4 linked regions of the Saccharomyces cerevisiae S288C genome follow. The protein of the gene in region 2 interacts with the protein of the main gene of each other region in a biochemical or structural test. Each region holds a gene or a part of one and is shown on either strand. Other genes may lie near its edges. The genes, in order: HSP60, TIM50, TIM17 and JAC1.

Region 1 (5,258 bases), on a different chromosome or scaffold from region 2:
AAGTATGGAGTGTATAAAGTTATCAAACAACAACAAAAACAACAACAACGTAAAAAAAATATAGAAGAAATAGAAATGACATATTCTAGTTTTTGATTAATTGTTCAGTACGAAGGAAAAGATTAAGTAAAGTGTCACATAGAATCGAAATCTGTGTCCACATAACGGCCATTTCTCAGTAACGTCTTGCATAAGCGTGGCATAATTTCGACTTGAAGGGGCTCTAGAGGAAATTTCTCGCCATCGACAGAGAACAAGCCGTTCCCTAGCTTTGGTATTATCTTGTATGCCAAAATTTTAGAGTGTAAGACTTCCGGTTGTAAAACATGGGAACCCTTATCTAGTCCCAGCAGGATTGGTGCCATCCTCGTCAACGAGGTTCTTGCATCGGTGATAACCATATCCATTGTACCATCTGAAGGAAGCGCTGCCGGAAAGAATTTAGTGTCAGCAGCCACATATGGCATTTTACCCGTATAGAAGATACCTAGGTTGTTCGAAATATTAGGATCCAATCTTTCCCAGTCACTAGGGATACCTTCATCTAATGGATATTTTATTTTGAAATCTTCCTCTTTAATTTGATCAGCACTAGAATCTGCCAGATCACGAGATATCAAGTGGGAGTCTTCGTCATCCGCATCCGCATCTTCATCTTCATCTTCGTTTTCGGTTTCGTATTCATTTTCGTAATTGTAATTATCACAATCCTCGTTATCTTTGTTCATAGTAATATGCTGGAATTCTAACGACCCTTTATTTTTGTGTTCCAGGTAATGATTTTTTAACTCGTTTTTTGATTTGGCAGCATACTTTACATATATCTCACAAGGATATTTTTTTTTTTGTATGATATTGAAGGCTACACCCAATTCAAACCTTGCAGGTCCCATCCATCTAATAAATTCAGTGTTTATGTCAGTTTCTGCAATGAGACCATATGTTTGACTTAAAAATGATAACTTTGGGTGCTCTCTTGCATAAGAAGGCTGCGAACAACACATCAAATCAATTCTAGTCTCTATCGATTTAATTAAGCATAAAGTTGAGTACGAAGGATTGTTTGTCCAGTGGCAGGATACGCTCATTGCGTTACCTGATCCGCATGGAATTTCTGTAATGGCGATATTGTTGAATGCTTTGACATGATCAGGCCTTTGGTATAACCCATTGATCACCTCATGAGGAATGCCATCTCCCGAAGCGCAAGCAATAGTGTCATATTTGTCAATATCCATTTCCCGCGCGATCTCTATAGCATGACCAGGGTATTTTGTATAAACCACTTCTATGGAACACCGACTTGCTAATAGTAACGGCTTTGCCTTTGTCATAAACAGTTTTTTCGCCTTACCTTTACCACCAAACGGATTAATGATCACAAATATGGATTTGTTCCTTCTAGTGTTTTTGTAGCTTCTCTTTAAAATCTCCTCAACCAAGTCATCTTCTTCTTTTAAGTGAGAAGATGAATGGGGTTTATAGTCAATATACAATGAAACCCTTTTGGGTACAACGTCATGCCGTCTTGGCCTAGCAAATATAACCTCTACTAGTTTCGTAAAAGGAGATCTGGAAGTCAGGAGGCTACTACTACTGTTACTTCCTCGCGATAGCGAGTTGCCCTTCCTTTCTTTTTTTTGGGAAGACTCTAATTCATCAAGATCACACTTTTCACTAATGTTACTCATTGAGCTGCTTAAAGGTGAACTGGGTGATGAATTGGCATCATAATAATGCAGAGGTTCCTTTTCAATGTATCTGGCATCCAGAATTCGTCCATAGGGGATAACGGTGTTTGCTGGCAATTGACCATTCACCGAAGGATAATGAAGTTTTGGATTAGCAGAAAGATCATCTTTACTTGTATCCGTTGTCGATGTTTCCGATCTGTCTATTGTATCAGTATCGCTTAAACAGGTAACACAGCTAATTAGTGAAGCCGTTTCAAATATACTGTTGTTATCACTGTTGCTTTGAAAGCTAGTTCTACTGATGTTGCTTTGAAAGCTAGTTCTACTGATGTTGTCAATGCTGCTGCGACTTCGTTTATCTGCCATTCTATTTGCGTATGTGTAAGGACTTGATGGTTTTGCCTTGATCATTATTCCTTCCTCAGTCAGTATCGCTGACGTTATTTGCTTCTTCCTGGAATGGCGAGACCTGCCCTTACGTCTCTTTGAAGGTTTCAAAGTCATCTCTTTTGGCTTACTGTTTAAATCTTACACTATTTGTGGTTTTTTCGAGATAATATCAAGAGTCCTTTTACTCTTCTTTTCTTTCCTATTTTGCAACACGTATATACAACAGTTTATGCTGTAGTTATACTTTTTTGATTGTTTTTGTATAAATAGATTCGGCTCACGCAGCTTACGTTCCCTTTCTTCTTCGCCTGCGAAGGCTTTAACAAGGCCCGAAAACACCTTGATTTGCAAATCTAACTATGAATCTTGCAGAAAAGCGGTGGCAACTGAAAGGGAAAAAAACATAGATTAAAAGAAAGCAACATAGTAACATAAAGGAAGAGAAAATTTTGATGATAAAGAAGATGAATAATATACCTAATGCATCCAAATGTTCCTCCTGTTATACTATTGGGAATTATTGCGAGTGCATCCATTCGCGCAATGATCAAGTAGAACGCCAAGACTAGTTGTGCAAAGAAGTACAGTTGAAATTCCAGCCAGTTATGTCTCATCCCTATTCCACTGTTTTTGTAGGTATACAATGGTGTTACGAGCAATTGAAGCTGTTTATTGCCTGGTATTACCTCTGGAAACTTACTTTATAGCCGCCCATCTGTATATGTCATCATATACGGACCTCGTGGAATTTTCCAGAAAACCAAATGGGGAGGGTGACTTTAATTTTGCTTCGTTTTGCCCGGAGCAGAATCCAGACGGACATTCATGTATATATATTGAAGGAGACTAAGTTTTACATTCATTATGTAAGGTCGTGGTTGCGTCTTCATGCACTTCCTTGAATAATATAAGAAAATTCCCACGAGAAAACATCATAAGCAAAAAAGTTTTCAAAATGTTGAGATCATCCGTTGTTCGTAGTCGCGCTACTTTAAGGCCTTTATTGCGTCGTGCTTACTCCTCTCATAAAGAATTGAAATTCGGTGTAGAAGGAAGAGCCTCCCTTCTTAAGGGTGTCGAAACTTTAGCTGAAGCGGTTGCTGCTACTTTGGGTCCAAAGGGTAGAAACGTTTTAATCGAACAGCCTTTCGGTCCTCCAAAGATTACTAAGGATGGTGTTACAGTTGCCAAATCTATTGTGTTGAAGGACAAGTTTGAAAATATGGGTGCCAAGTTACTACAAGAAGTTGCCTCCAAAACCAATGAGGCTGCTGGTGACGGTACTACTTCTGCTACTGTCTTAGGTAGAGCCATCTTCACAGAATCCGTCAAAAATGTCGCCGCTGGTTGTAACCCTATGGATTTGAGAAGGGGTTCTCAAGTTGCAGTTGAAAAAGTGATTGAATTTTTGAGCGCCAACAAGAAAGAAATTACCACATCTGAGGAAATTGCTCAAGTAGCAACCATTTCTGCCAATGGGGACTCTCATGTTGGTAAGTTACTAGCTTCAGCTATGGAAAAGGTTGGAAAAGAAGGTGTCATCACTATCAGAGAAGGTAGAACATTGGAAGATGAACTTGAGGTTACTGAAGGTATGAGGTTTGATCGTGGTTTTATTTCTCCATACTTCATCACTGATCCAAAGTCGAGCAAGGTGGAATTTGAAAAGCCATTGCTATTGTTGAGTGAAAAGAAAATTTCTTCCATTCAAGATATCTTGCCAGCTTTGGAAATTTCCAATCAAAGCAGAAGACCTTTGTTGATCATTGCTGAAGATGTTGACGGTGAAGCTCTTGCGGCTTGTATTTTGAACAAGTTGAGGGGTCAAGTTAAGGTTTGTGCTGTGAAGGCGCCTGGTTTCGGTGATAATAGAAAGAATACAATTGGTGATATTGCAGTCTTGACGGGCGGTACTGTTTTTACTGAGGAGTTGGATTTGAAACCAGAACAATGTACCATAGAAAACTTGGGTTCTTGTGACTCTATTACCGTTACTAAGGAAGACACCGTTATCCTGAACGGTAGTGGTCCAAAGGAAGCTATTCAAGAGAGAATTGAACAAATCAAAGGCTCCATCGACATTACCACCACAAATTCATATGAGAAGGAGAAACTGCAAGAGCGTTTGGCCAAATTGTCCGGGGGTGTTGCTGTCATCAGGGTCGGTGGTGCATCTGAAGTTGAAGTTGGTGAAAAGAAGGACCGTTACGATGATGCTTTGAACGCTACCAGAGCTGCAGTTGAGGAAGGTATCTTGCCAGGTGGTGGTACTGCCTTAGTGAAGGCATCTAGAGTTTTGGATGAAGTTGTTGTCGACAATTTCGATCAAAAATTGGGTGTCGATATCATAAGAAAGGCCATTACAAGACCAGCCAAGCAGATCATTGAAAACGCTGGTGAAGAAGGTTCAGTTATCATCGGCAAATTGATTGATGAATATGGTGATGATTTTGCCAAGGGTTACGATGCCTCTAAGTCAGAATACACCGACATGTTAGCCACTGGTATCATCGATCCATTTAAAGTGGTTAGATCCGGTTTAGTTGATGCTTCTGGTGTTGCCTCACTATTAGCTACTACCGAAGTTGCTATTGTTGATGCCCCAGAACCACCAGCAGCTGCTGGCGCTGGTGGTATGCCAGGTGGTATGCCAGGAATGCCAGGTATGATGTAACGACCGCCTTAATTCAAAATTTATCTTTCGTTTAAATATGGTAATAATTTTATTATCTTGTAAATACAATGTGAAAAAAGTTGAGATTTTTAGGAATCACTTTTTCAAGTATAAAGAACTATATATGACTATGAGCTATTATATCTTTAAGTATGACTATATGTTGATAACTGAACAAAGATAGAGAGAGCTACCGCCATAATGTCACTTTTCATTAATGAAATTGACTTATTTTGTTTACAGCTAACGCAAGAGGACTTCGCTAGAAGGAAGAGAAAAAAAGAAAAGAAAATGTTTGGATCGCTCAAAACTCCTAGTATATTTTCAGAGGGCATTCCACATATATTTCAGTTTGTGCCAACGAAAGTTAAAAGAAAAGCAAAAACGCCTCGAAATGTCGTATGTCTTTATGGTAAGATTTTTTTAATACTGTTTATATCCTCATAGGATTTAACTGTCATCAGCATATGGGCCATCGTCGTCATCGTCAGCTGCAGGAT
Region 2 (5,653 bases):
CACCGAATGGAACTCTGGAGTCAAAATCGTTGTATGTGTTGATCCAGACGGTACCGGCCTTCAACATCTTGGCCACCTTCAAACCTGTGCTCAAAGATTCTGTTTCGATACCAGAACCTAGACCGAATTCAGAGCTGTTAGCCATTTCGACACCTTCTTCTAAAGTCTTGAACTTTGCGACAGTGACAACTGGTCCAAAAATTTCTTCCTTAACAATTCTCATGTCTTCATTAACATCGTAGAAAACGGTTGGTCTGATGAAGTAACCCTTGTCACCAACTTTTTCGCCACCAGTTAAGATCTTGGCGCCTTCTTTCTTACCGATATCGATGTAGTTCATAATTGTGTCGAATTGTTGACGGTTAGTGATAGCACCTTGGAAGTTAGCCTTGTCAAATGGATTACCAACTTTGATTTCGGTTTCCAAGTAAGCCTTGAAAGCAGCCAATAGTTCGTCGTAAATACCTTCTTGAACGTAAATTCTAGAACCAGAGGAACAAATTTGACCAGCGTTCTTGAAAATACCGTTTACTAGATTTGGTAAAGTCTTCTTAATGTTAGCATCGTCAAAGACCAAATGGGCGGACTTACCACCTAGTTCCAAAGTGATTTTCTTCAAGTTAGATTCAGAAGAGTCGACAGCAACACTCTTACCGACTTCTGTAGAACCGGTAAAAGCCAGCTTTCTGATTCTTGGGTCGTTGGTCAAAGCAGCACCAACAGTTCTACCAGGACCTGGAACGATGTTGACGACACCAGCTGGAATACCAACCTTCTTACATAAAGAAGCAAAGTATAGGGCATTTAAAGGTGTGACAGCAGCGGGTTTCAAGATACAGACGTTACCCATGGCCAATGCTGGGGCGATCTTCCAAGCCAACATCATTATTGGAAAGTTCCATGGAATAATTTGACCACAGACACCGATTGGCTCTAAGGTGGTGAAGTTCATGTAGCCGTCACCGGTGTTGATTGTTCTACCGTTGACTTTGTCGGCATAGGCAGCAGCATCTCTTAGACAGTTGATTGCAATGGTAACATCCCCACGGGCTAAGGCCAAAGTTTTACCATTGTCCAAAGCTTCAATGGAAGAAACCAAGTCAATTTGGCTTTCCAATTCGTCAGCCAACTTACTTAGTAGACGGCCTCTTTCTCTTGGGTCTTGGGTAGCCCATTCAGTGTCGTGGAAAGCACGGTCGGCACATTCGATAGCATATTCAACATCTTCAGTGGTGGCAGAAGAGACCTCACAAACGGTGTTTTCAGTGGAAGGATCTTCGACGGGATAGGTCTTACCGTCTTGAGCTTTCATAAACTTGTTGTTAATGAATAGACCGGTTGGTTGCTCGTATGTCAAACCATTTGGAAGTGTGATCTTGACTGGTTCAGCAGTGTCAAAGTGTAGCTTAGTCATTGTATTCTGATAGTATGTGTTTGTGTATGTTAAAGATGTTTCTTGATGTTTTTTCTTCTATAAAACAAGAGAAGTAAAAGACTGAACACTTCGAATTGAATATTACCAAACTTCTTATTACATTTATATATGATATCAAGAACTTGTTAAACACGCCAGGCTTGACCTCGAACGGTGTTTTGATGTGTTACTCAACCGTTAAATCGCTGTTTGAGCTGACTAACAAGGTTGCTTGTCTTGAATCCCCCTCACCCCGAATTTATTACGAATTTGCCCACATGGTCGGTGCTATATCGCATTCGTTGCACTCACCGTTCCCAAGAGGAGATCAATGTTACATACGTTCCCGATGCCCAAAACGGTAAAGTTAAAGCGATATAGAAGCTGGATGCATATCTTTTTACACGTCCGCGGCGCGCCCACCCTCTTTTTTCTTTCTGGTTCCTTTTCGGTCGTTTTTCTTTTGTCGGCTGCCTTATTCCCGTGGGGATGAGGCGAGCGCCGTTTCGGCTTGGATACGCCATATGCAACAATGACGTCTCGGTGCTGGCCATGCCCCTCATTTATGTCGAAAAACAGGCCACTGCCCCTCTTTTCTGCGGCCCGGGCAAGAGGAGACCTCATCAGCCACGGCGACGTGCTGGTTGCTTCTACAATGGTATCTTCACCTTTTACATAATCCAATTCTATCATGCCCTTACGTGAGGGGCAGTGTCGTATGTGACGGCAGTTCCTGACCTGATAGTGTGTCTATTTGTCTGTTAGCGTCCGCGGAAAGTTGTGAGTACGGTTTTTAGTTTAGTTTCCACCCGGGATTATACTTTTGGCTACCCTGACTGGAAGGCGGCGGCCTTATATTCGAATGAACATGCCAGGCATTGTACGAATTGAAACTTTTTTCGTATGACGTTACGAATAATTCCATTCGGCCTAAATATTCTTTTTTTTTGGATTTTTATGCTAGTGAAGGAATATGAGATATGCAAAGCGCATCAGATCATTAGGTGTGTCTACATCGTTAAAATTTAACATAGAAAAAATAAATAGGCGTGTTTGTACGTAGTATGGTGATGTTAGGAGGTGCAGTGGTAGTAAGTTAGCAATATACATAAGTTTTATTCACATGACAGTAACAAAATGAGGGTGTGGGGAGTGTACAGGTACATTTACATACACACATAGATACGTAGATACATGAGAAGAGGGTTTACATGAAAATTATTTGGATTCAGCAATCTTCTTCTTTTTCTTTTCCTCTTCAAATAAGGCGTCTACCTCCTTCTGCTTCTCCAATTGTATTTTCATTTGTTCTTCTGGCGAAGGCAAGTTACCTTCAACATAGTCTTTCAGCGTAAATGTTTGCCCGCCCATTTGCTCCTGCTGTATTCTAATTTTTTCCTTTTCTTCCTCAATCATCTTCATGAACATTAAATAGTTCTTTTGTCCTTCTTCATGAATCAAATCGAGCGGGAACTTGGTGCTGCCGCCCAGGGAATTTCCGAGACCTAGTGCCGTCATTGCCCAGTTGCCACCAGATTTATGATCTCCGTAAAATTTATCCTTCAATTTTTTCACACGATGATCAAATTCTTCTGCTAGGTTCTTCTTGTCTTCAAAGCTGTTCAAGATTGGTCTAACATCCTTGGTTTGTTGAGTGGCAAGGTACTCCAAAAATGGAATCAATCTTACTAATTTGTCATCAGCTTCACCATTCCATGGCTCCATTGGAATAGCATTTTCAGGTTGCAATTTGTAACTGTTAGGGTCAGTGTCAATAATGATTACTTTACTCAAATCTCTATTCAATTTTGACAGATCCTTAATGTGCACACCGTCTTTGTAAACACAGTGTTCCTTGAACAAATTATAAGATACGAATGCATGGATTGGATCTAATTTTTCAGCGATTTTGTCAGAGTACATCATATAGTTGGATGAAAACAAAACAATTTCGTAATACTGCGATAGGTAACCCAAGAAGTAGTCAGCACCAGGTCTTTTGGCCGTTCTCCAACCATGCTTTTGAGACCACTCAGAATGAACCAAAAAATCTTCCAATGTGATAACAAGAGTTAATGGCCTTTGGTACGGTGGTGGTGGTGGTGGAGGTAGTAAATCAGGGAAAGGTGGCTCTTGGAAGTAGGTGAACATTGAGTTGAACCTGGCCTTGAATCTTTTATACATAAGTGATAAAGTGTAGCCATTATCGATGTCTTTCTTCAATTCTTCAGACTCTTGAGGCTCCCAATCCCTTGCCATGTAGATTGCAGTACCTGTCAACGCAGACAACGAAAAAATGTAAAACCAGTTAGCATACTTTTCTCTTTTAATATCTGTAGAAGTTTGTCTTTTTCTTCTAGATTTTTCACTTTTGGAAGAAGGTTCATTCTTGTCCTCTCCTCCTTCTCCTGATGTTTCCTCGTTTTTGCCTTGGCCCTTCTCATCGACGTCAACACCGGCCTTGAACAGCATATCATCTGTAAGAATGGATTTAGGCTTGTCGTCTTTTGTTTCTTTTTGTAAAAAACTTGAATAACTTGTTAAAAGTCTTCTGGATGCTTGAACCGATGTTAAGGTGTTGGCGGCAGATGGCACAACCCTAAGAGCCCTTGAATTTAGTCTCACCGAATTTCTTAAAATGGACAGCATTGCAAGCGGGTGATTTTTGGAAGTTTATTCTAGCTGTGATGTGCTAAAGCAAAAAATCAGTTATGCGCCAAAAGCTAATCACGAAATTGAGTGGATGCTAGAAATTACCGTTCCGATTAATCCTGACGTTATGTTCGTTTGCTGAATATATCTCACTTTACTGAAAGAACTTCCAATTTTTTTTTTTTCCTTTTCCGCTGTAAAGCGTCTGAAGAGAAAAAAAGGTTCAAAATGTCCTGAGAATAATTTATTGAATAATTTATTATTCAAAGCGTATTACAGGAAACATGTATGATGAGTTTTAAACCAAAGTAAGAATGCTATGTCCAGTAATATAGAACCTCAGACAACAGCTAAATGTATACTGTATACAACAAAGGGGAACATTGCCATTGAATTATGGGCTAAAGAATGCCCTGAGACATGTAAGAGGTTCTTATCTATGCTCTCAGATGGCACATTCACCAATGGAGAATTTAAAGAGTTAAAGCCAACACAGTGGCTAATGTTTAATGCAAATAGTACTGGTGAGTACCGTACAGTTGCTGAGGAAAAAAATCCTCGTATACGCTTCAATAGAGATGGACTCTTGGGATGGGATAGACGAAGGAACACATGGTTTATAACTGTGCTGGCGGATTCTAAGCACGTACTGAACGATTGTAATGTATTTGGCAAAATTGTTGGGAAATCTATTTACATCTTTAGAGAGATCTTGGGCGGCGAAATTGAAGCTTCCTCCCGTGACAATGATGTCAAACGATTCATGTATCCTGCAGTTTTGAAGGATGTTGAGATTACCATACCATTCTTTGAGGACATCTTTGGATCAAAAAGAAGACTGGAAGATAATGAAAAAAAAGAACAAGAGCCGGCAAAGAAACTTGTGAAATCAGCAAAAGTAAAGATGGTTTATGAAGATGAGCAAGAGGATGATGATGGTGATGTTCAAAAGCTTAAGCCAAGAAAGAGAATGATTCTCCCAGCATGGATCAAAGATGATAGTCGCAGTGAAGGAATTAAACTAGACGCATCCTTAGATCAGCCACAAGAGGCACTAATTAGGGAAAAGACGGAGTTGCATGATAATGTTGATGAGGCAACCACTAAAGAAACGGAAAGTCAAGAAAACATCAAGGAAGAACCAATGGATAAAAGAGAGCGGGAAACTTTGGCAATGTTGTCAAAATTTCAAGAACGAATAAAAAACAAGAATATTCTAAAGTGAAATAGAAACGCTTGTGTACTTATATATGTTATCATAATTTCTATTTGTTTATTTCTTAATCCAGTAAAGCATAAAAACTTTTATAGGCTAGTTCTAGATCAAACAGAAGTTCTCTAATTTGTGTTTCAGTTAAAGTGTCACCAATTGAGAGTTTATTTATTCTGACAATCCAGTCAATGAGTTTTGATCTATTCTCAAAATCATCCCTGGTGACGCGATTTATGCTGATTAACAGTTCAGCCAATAAGGGATGTAATTGATCTTTTGCATTATAGTTTAGTTTCAAAGCATCCATTACAGTGATGAAATTACCAGTGGCCTCAGCGACGTATTTAGCATTAAACTTTTTGTCGCTAGAAGAA
Region 3 (4,876 bases), on a different chromosome or scaffold from region 2:
TTCCCATAGCTAGCGTGCCAGCGAATAGATTGAATTATAAGATAATCGAATTTAAAATCCTGAAACCTTGGGAAAGACAAAACTACATTGCTGCCGGTCAACATCGAGAATCTATTATGAACAAGTGGCTAGATCTTTGGCGAGACTTTTTGAACCAAGCAAACTAAATAAGAATAGTACTGCTTTTCCGCAATTCTTCAATATTCATTAAAGGCGGTCCGGTACCCTCTTCATAGTTAATCCCATCATACTTATAATGTGTTTCATTAAAATGCAGTTATAATAACAAAAAATTATATTTTTTTTTGCTGAAACATGCCGGTACACCGTATTTGTAATCACTTCCTTTTGTATACTACCACATAGTCATTATCCTTCTTTTTAATTCCTTTTTTTTTGGTTTCCTTTATCATCACTATATCTGAAAGTTCAAGGTTATTTTAGCACTTCTACATTCTCGGGTGTGGCTAGAATTGGGCGGAATGAAAAAAAAAAACTATGTCCATCGCTTTACTAATTAGTGATCGCACCAAGAAAAACGAGCTGTACATTGCAATTGTACCTCTTTTTTTTTTCCTACTTAGAATCCCAATCGTAATTAATTCACTAAATTAACATCCTTAAAATGAAATTCGACAATGACAGTGAGAAGCAGGTTTTCGATAAGCTTAAAAAAGCGATTCCTGGTATTATCAAGGAAAAATGTGCAGGATACGATGAATTGTATGGTTACAAGTTGAATCCTGAAGGTCTTACACAAGAGGAGGTTGATAAATACTATGACGAAAAAATCGCCGATCGTCTAACCTACAAACTTTGCAAAGCCTATCAATTTGAATATAGCACCATTGTACAGAACCTGATCGATATTTTGAATTGGAGGAGGGAATTCAACCCATTGAGTTGTGCCTACAAGGAAGTCCATAATACAGAATTGCAAAACGTTGGTATTTTGACATTCGATGCAAACGGCGACGCAAATAAAAAGGCTGTCACTTGGAACTTATACGGCCAACTGGTCAAAAAAAAAGAATTGTTTCAAAATGTGGATAAGTTTGTACGCTACAGAATCGGGCTCATGGAAAAGGGTTTGAGCTTATTAGATTTCACCAGCTCCGACAACAACTATATGACCCAAGTCCACGATTATAAAGGCGTCTCCGTGTGGCGAATGGATTCTGACATTAAAAACTGTAGCAAGACGGTCATTGGAATCTTTCAAAAATACTATCCAGAACTGTTATATGCAAAGTATTTTGTTAATGTCCCCACCGTTTTCGGCTGGGTTTACGATTTAATCAAAAAGTTCGTTGACGAAACCACCAGAAAGAAGTTCGTGGTATTAACCGACGGCAGCAAGTTGGGTCAATACTTGAAGGATTGCCCATATGAAGGGTATGGCGGGAAAGATAAGAAGAACAATCTGACCAAGCAAAATGTCACAAATGTCCATCCAACAGAATACGGCCTTTACATTTTACAAAAACAAATCATCGAGGACGTTGAGTGATTTGTTGGCATGATCTAATAATAGTCTCTTATATAAACCCTATAATAATTTCTTATTTTTGCCTTATATTCAGGTAAATCACCATCTAACTGTATTATCTCTCACGTATCTTCACTTATATGGCTCAGAAAACACCGTACGAAACGAAGGGGCTGCGAAAATGTTTCTAGAAGGTAATGGCAATAATAGGGATACAGATCGATCAGATCCGCCTATATAAAAGACAACGCACCGAAGGTGAACAAGATCGCAGATAAAGGTATTTACAAGGGAAAAAAGTCAGCAAAAACAAGAGATAAGATAACAAGAAGAAGATGTTAAGGAGGGAAACTTCAACAATATACAGGACACACAAAAAAAGCAACAGTAGTATACTCAGGAGCCAGCGGGACCAGACTAGAGTGGATTCCTTGGTAGAGGAGTCTCCCATGGGCGATTTCGGGATCAATAACCAGCCTACACAGCCTGGCGTGATATACTACTTTGTAGAGCTGACTAATTTAGGCATACAGGAAAACACAAGCAGTAATAATAACAACAACAATAATCATGGTGACGATGAAAACGGCAGTCGATACGGCCACGGCAGCAGTCTGGGTGGAGACGTTCACTCTCGCCGTTGTTCATGAACTCCAGCATTATAAAGCATATCTAACAATACCATTCGGGTTATACTGAATAGCCCACGCACGGGTTCGGGGTTGTAACGATTATATGCATTTCATAACATGCCACTGTCAGTGGCGCCACGGAAGGATAGCGGGACTTTATCAAATCATTAATTTCTGTGCATAAAGTGTATAGTATATTCATATAGATATGTATATATATCATTGAATACAGAAATCTTCGGGTGTATACAACGAACATTCATCGGACGCCTTTTTTACTGCTATTGTTCAACAAAGTGGGTAACCCGGCATTCTTGCGCCAAAGTTTCCATTTTTATGCCAAATCCAGAGGATAAAAGCACTATTCTCATCAAAAGATGGAAAAGCTGTGAAAGAGTCAAGTTCAGAAGAAAGCGTTAAGAAAAATAGAGTACACGGGAGCGTTATGTCAGCCGATCATTCGAGAGATCCATGTCCTATAGTCATACTAAATGATTTCGGTGGTGCTTTTGCCATGGGTGCCATTGGTGGTGTTGTTTGGCATGGGATTAAAGGTTTTAGAAATTCGCCATTAGGTGAGCGTGGTTCAGGAGCTATGAGCGCCATTAAAGCGCGTGCTCCCGTACTGGGTGGTAATTTTGGTGTGTGGGGTGGTTTATTTTCGACTTTTGATTGCGCTGTGAAGGCCGTTAGAAAGAGAGAGGACCCATGGAATGCTATCATTGCAGGGTTTTTCACTGGTGGCGCTTTAGCTGTAAGAGGTGGTTGGAGGCATACAAGGAACAGTTCGATCACGTGTGCTTGTTTGTTGGGTGTGATTGAAGGTGTGGGACTAATGTTTCAAAGATATGCTGCTTGGCAAGCCAAACCTATGGCTCCTCCTTTGCCCGAAGCACCTTCCTCTCAACCTCTGCAAGCTTAGGCATGTAGACATTATATGAGCCATTTTTTCATCGTTGTTGGAAGTACCCTTATTCGGCATGTTTTTTGTTACATAAATGACGTATCGCACTAGCCTCCTTTACGTTTTTACTTTATTTCAGCCTTTTATTTCAAGATTACCAACCATTTCTCTCAACCATGTACATATTATATATTGAAAAAGTACCATACTTCATCTCTGAAGAGAAAATATCAACAAGCCAAAAGCTAGTGCAGAAACTTTATAATGTTACTTTATTAATTGTAATGACTATACGTATAAGGAAAATTAAGAAAAGGCAAAATTCATATTTATTTAGTATATCATTATGGCACCAAGCCGTAATAAAATGAAATGGGTAGTTAAGAAAAGTCAGACAAAATAACGATTTATTCTTCGACAATGTGAAGTTTATTGAACGCGCTTGTTGGCCCTTCTTGAACAGAATGAGTAACAGCAAAATTATTGGAGATGTCGCCAGATGTATTCTCCTTCCTTTTACTGATAGCACCAATGTCGACGCTATCAGCACCACCAGTGGCAGAGCTAGGATTATAGACATAGTTGTGGCCTGCATTGTTACTAGAGTCGTTCGCACTTCCATATTCACTTTGCTGGCCTTTTGCATCGTCATGTTTTTCTGAAGGACCCGGTAAAGACGATCCTGGAGGAAACCACTCACCTGTAAACTCCTGCTTTGTTATGAAGGGGTGTAGCATAGCTTGTTGTGGTGTCCATCTTTCTAACGGGTTCAAATTTAGCACACCGCCTAAAAAGTGGATCAAACACTCCCTATTCTGCATTTCTTGGTCGATAAGTTCTTGGGAGTTCTGTATGCTTTTAGGATACCTGTAGTTTCTAATAATATCTGGTAACTTTCTCCACTTAAAATATTGTTTACTGGGCTTTTCCACTATATTGTATTCTCTGCAAAACTCTTCAATAGTTTTCATACGATGCTTTTGTGTAGAAGAAGAACTTTCTTCTGGTGCCAATTTCTTCATAAATTTTCCAGAGTTTTTACCCATATCTATCATCCACGATGGAGGATATCCAAGCGTGTCTATTATTCTTGTTAATTGGTTATATTCAGAAGCGCCTGGGAAGATCGGTATACCCAAAAATAATTCAGCAACAATACAACCTAACGACCACATGTCAATACTGGTTGAATACGGTATACCCAGTATAATTTCAGGAGCACGATAAAACCTGGACTGGATGTATGTATAAACGGTTCTTGCCTCTTCGCAAGATGAGCCAAAATCAATAATTTTCAATTCCGGCTTATCAGGTGCGCAGAGCAAGATATTCTCTGGCTTCAGATCGCAATGAATCAGTTTGCTTTCCTTCAAAACGCATAACGAATCCAGTATTTGAGTGGTGAATGTTCTGATAAGTTGTATAGAGAGCCCATGAAATTTGTTTTGTTTTAATAATTCGTACAAATTATTGCTTAGTAATTCAAACACTAAACATAAGTGGTTCTTGTGGACAAAGGAGTCATACATCCTTAAAAAATGATGTTTATTAGTAGGGTCTATCTTTTGATTCAGTAGCTCTAAAATTTTAGCCTCCGTTATACTTTGAGTCAAATATTCTGTCCTCGATTTAACCACTTTTACAGCCAATATCTCTTTCGTCAGCAAATTTTGACATTTGACCACTTGACCAAATGTACCTTGACCCAAAATGTCTAGCACAAGGTACTTTCTGTTCTGCTCTACACCCAAAACGTCATTTACATAAAGAATATAGTCACTGTTTATGTTGTCGAATCCGTTGTTACATTTCCCTTCACTGGGCTTCGTAAGTACTCTCTTGGGGTTTTTG
Region 4 (2,789 bases), on a different chromosome or scaffold from region 2:
TTAGGATTGTTATTAGAATAGTGTGTTGAAGGCTCACATTTGCTCACTATATAAAATGACGGCTTTCATACAAGTTTCGAAGCCAAATAACCGTATCACGTCACAAATACGTTTCTTGACATTCGGAGGTTCGCTATAAAAGTTAATTAATGGTCGAATCCCCTCCGTTTCGATTTCGAAGAGAAATAGTCTTCCCTCCAGGTCAGTGATCTTGCCAGATTGCATAATGTCCAGCAATTCCCATAGCGGGAGTAATCCCGGCACCACATTAGGAATACCATTTGGAGCATGGCCATTGTGTTCTTTCAAATGGTAGATGGTATCTAAATCTTCCTCTTCGTACGGTATACCGTAAAGTTCTTTCAATTCCAATGCAGATTCATTTGCAGATTTAAACGCACACCCTCCCACACCGTATATTTCCTCAGCAATATTCTTGTACTTGACAACATTATCAGTGGGAAATCCCTCCCCTCTTCCGGTTTCAGAGTCAACGAGGTAGAGCTCCTTAGTAACTTTCGTCTCTTCTTCACCTATGACAAAGAGTTTGCCCCTAGAAATCATATCCTGAATGGGTTTCAATGGGATATATTTACTGTGACACACATCCAGTACTTCCGCACCATAGTTTGCTTTATAATTCATCTTCGGACAGTCCTCAATATAGTACCCCAGGTAATAGTATTGCAGATTTGTCCTTTGAATGATGGCAAGATCGCGCAAAGCACTGAGCTTCCCTAGGGACCATTTACTGTAGTCTGGATCCCAAATAAAATATACCGAAGATATACCACTGGGCAAGATATCTGACACAGTGATGGCAATTAATTTACCCTCATAGTAGTAGCATTCGTGCACAGGACCCATATGCTTCAGTTTCTCGCCTGGCTTCATTCGCTGCCAATTGTTTAACTGCTCCCATGATTCTTGTGTCCCCAACACCGCTTCAGGGCCAAAGGGCGTATCACATAGGAATCGCTTAAAGGACTTCGGCGAATTATTGTAGTCTTGATGCACTTTTTCCTGATATTTGACAAATAAGTGATACTTTTCTTCACTATAAAGTGCAGGCTCAAATCGGGTATAGAATGTTTTAGAATTCATCTCTGCATTAACAATTTTGCCCACAAAATCACTGCTTGCAACAGCGGCTGGGCAGTAGTCCTCACTTGTTATTCTAGTAGCAAAGCGGCTGATGCATTTTTTCAATTCCTTTGTCATATTCAATTCTTGAGGGGCAGTTCGAATGGTGTATAACCTACAACAATTCCTCAACGGGTCCACTTTATAAAGAAACTTACCAGACCTTCTAAATCCCATATTACACATGCGATCATACGTGGCTACATCCATATGTTCCACGAAAGAGCCAATTGTGCAGTTTTCAATCTTTACAACGTCCATTTTGTTCATATAACGATGAGCCCACGAATCCAATGCGAACAACTGATCCATGTTGCCCCCCTTATTACCGTGACAATACCCACACTTTGCGGCAGGTTCATTGTGCATCGAGGGAGCCCAAATAACGAATCTATCGGACATAATTGTGCTTCTTCTCAGTTGTATCTTGAGACTATCTTGTCTTTTGTAACAATAGCAATGAAACTCACAGCGTAATTCTTAACAATAGGTAAAAAAAAAACGAAAAAGAAAAGGAAACTAAAAAGATGATGCGAAATTAAAGGCTGAGGCTGATAATGGAAACAGGTATCAAGAAGCCCCACAAGCACAATGTTGAAATACTTGGTTCAACGAAGATTCACTTCTACATTTTACGAGCTGTTCCCAAAGACCTTCCCCAAAAAGCTACCCATTTGGACTATCGATCAATCCAGATTAAGGAAGGAGTATAGGCAATTACAAGCACAGCACCATCCAGACATGGCCCAACAAGGTAGTGAACAGTCATCAACTCTTAATCAAGCTTACCATACTCTCAAAGATCCCCTTAGAAGGTCACAATATATGCTAAAACTCTTGCGCAATATCGATTTGACGCAAGAACAGACCTCAAATGAAGTAACTACCAGTGATCCACAGTTACTATTGAAAGTTCTAGACATCCATGATGAATTATCCCAGATGGACGACGAAGCTGGTGTGAAGCTGCTTGAAAAGCAAAACAAGGAAAGAATTCAAGATATTGAAGCCCAGTTGGGACAATGCTACAATGACAAGGATTACGCCGCCGCAGTGAAGTTGACCGTGGAGCTAAAGTACTGGTACAACTTGGCCAAGGCATTCAAAGACTGGGCTCCAGGAAAACAATTGGAAATGAATCACTAAAGTACTCCAAAGTGGTAATAGTAATAATAATAATAGTGGTGATATAAAAACTGAAACAATGTAAATAGGTAAAGTACATATGTATATGGTAGGGCAAAGAGGAAAATAAATCAAGGGTTAAACCGCCGGTGTCTCGAACTCGCATTTGGCAAATTCTTCCCAGTCCTCCTCCGTGGATGGATATTGTCTCAACCACTTCATTCTAGGACCAGATACTGCCTCATCATTTATCCTGAACCCAAAAACTTTCAACTCGTAGGACTCTTTACTTTTCCTTTCCACATACTCTTCCAATTCTTTGAAATGTTTCAAGAACACACCAGGGAAGCTTGTCCCCCAAAATGCACCTTCTAAGCACAGGAATCTAGATGATTGGGGAAGATACAAGTCCTGACAACTGGGACAGTACAACCTTACGGTGTGTTTCCCAACTGTATCGCTCAACCCACAAGGCAGCAACTGCATGCCATTACAATAGTAACGGGGGCACGTTCCAAATT

Evidence for each region.
Region 1: the proteins of TIM50 (region 2) and HSP60 form a complex in vitro, tested with the Saccharomyces cerevisiae proteins (one study listed by BioGRID).
Region 3: the proteins of TIM50 (region 2) and TIM17 form a complex in vitro, tested with the Saccharomyces cerevisiae proteins (2 studies listed by BioGRID).
Region 4: the proteins of TIM50 (region 2) and JAC1 form a complex in vitro, tested with the Saccharomyces cerevisiae proteins (one study listed by BioGRID).

What each region holds. Positions count from the first base shown.
Region 1 is NC_001144.5:662,784-668,041, reverse strand, and holds HSP60 (chaperone ATPase HSP60), read left to right. Parts: upstream 1-3,039; coding exon 3,040-4,758; downstream 4,759-5,258. Other genes in the region: sphinganine kinase LCB5, read right to left, coding at 135-2,198; glycogen (starch) synthase GSY2, read right to left, coding at 5,209-5,258. UniProt on the Saccharomyces cerevisiae protein: May participate in assembly and/or disassembly of proteins imported into the mitochondrion. HSP60 are ATPases and have affinity for unfolded proteins.
Region 2 is NC_001148.4:428,349-434,001, reverse strand, and holds TIM50 (protein translocase subunit TIM50), read right to left. Parts: upstream 4,064-5,653; coding exon 2,633-4,063; downstream 1-2,632. Other genes in the region: aldehyde dehydrogenase (NADP(+)) ALD6, read right to left, coding at 1-1,414; YPL062W (uncharacterized protein), read right to left, coding at 1,703-2,107; putative peptidylprolyl isomerase CWC27, read left to right, coding at 4,386-5,291; ESCRT-I subunit protein VPS28, read right to left, coding at 5,347-5,653.
Region 3 is NC_001142.9:144,535-149,410, forward strand, and holds TIM17 (protein transporter TIM17), read left to right. Parts: upstream 1-2,566; coding exon 2,567-3,043; downstream 3,044-4,876. Other genes in the region: IDS2 (Ids2p), read left to right, coding at 1-167; SFH5 (Sfh5p), read left to right, coding at 626-1,510; ROQ1 (Roq1p), read left to right, coding at 1,825-2,139; IRC9 (Irc9p), read right to left, coding at 3,285-3,677; serine/threonine protein kinase YAK1, read right to left, coding at 3,433-4,876. UniProt on the Saccharomyces cerevisiae protein: Essential component of the TIM23 complex, a complex that mediates the translocation of transit peptide-containing proteins across the mitochondrial inner membrane.
Region 4 is NC_001139.9:458,610-461,398, reverse strand, and holds JAC1 (J-type chaperone JAC1), read left to right. Parts: upstream 1-1,734; coding exon 1,735-2,289; downstream 2,290-2,789. Other genes in the region: ATE1 (arginyltransferase), read right to left, coding at 34-1,545; casein kinase 2 regulatory subunit CKB1, read right to left, coding at 2,407-2,789. UniProt on the Saccharomyces cerevisiae protein: Co-chaperone required for the assembly of iron-sulfur (Fe/S) clusters in mitochondria. Stimulates the ATPase activity of its specialized Hsp70 chaperone partner SSQ1, to mediate the transfer of iron-sulfur clusters from ISU1 to GRX5.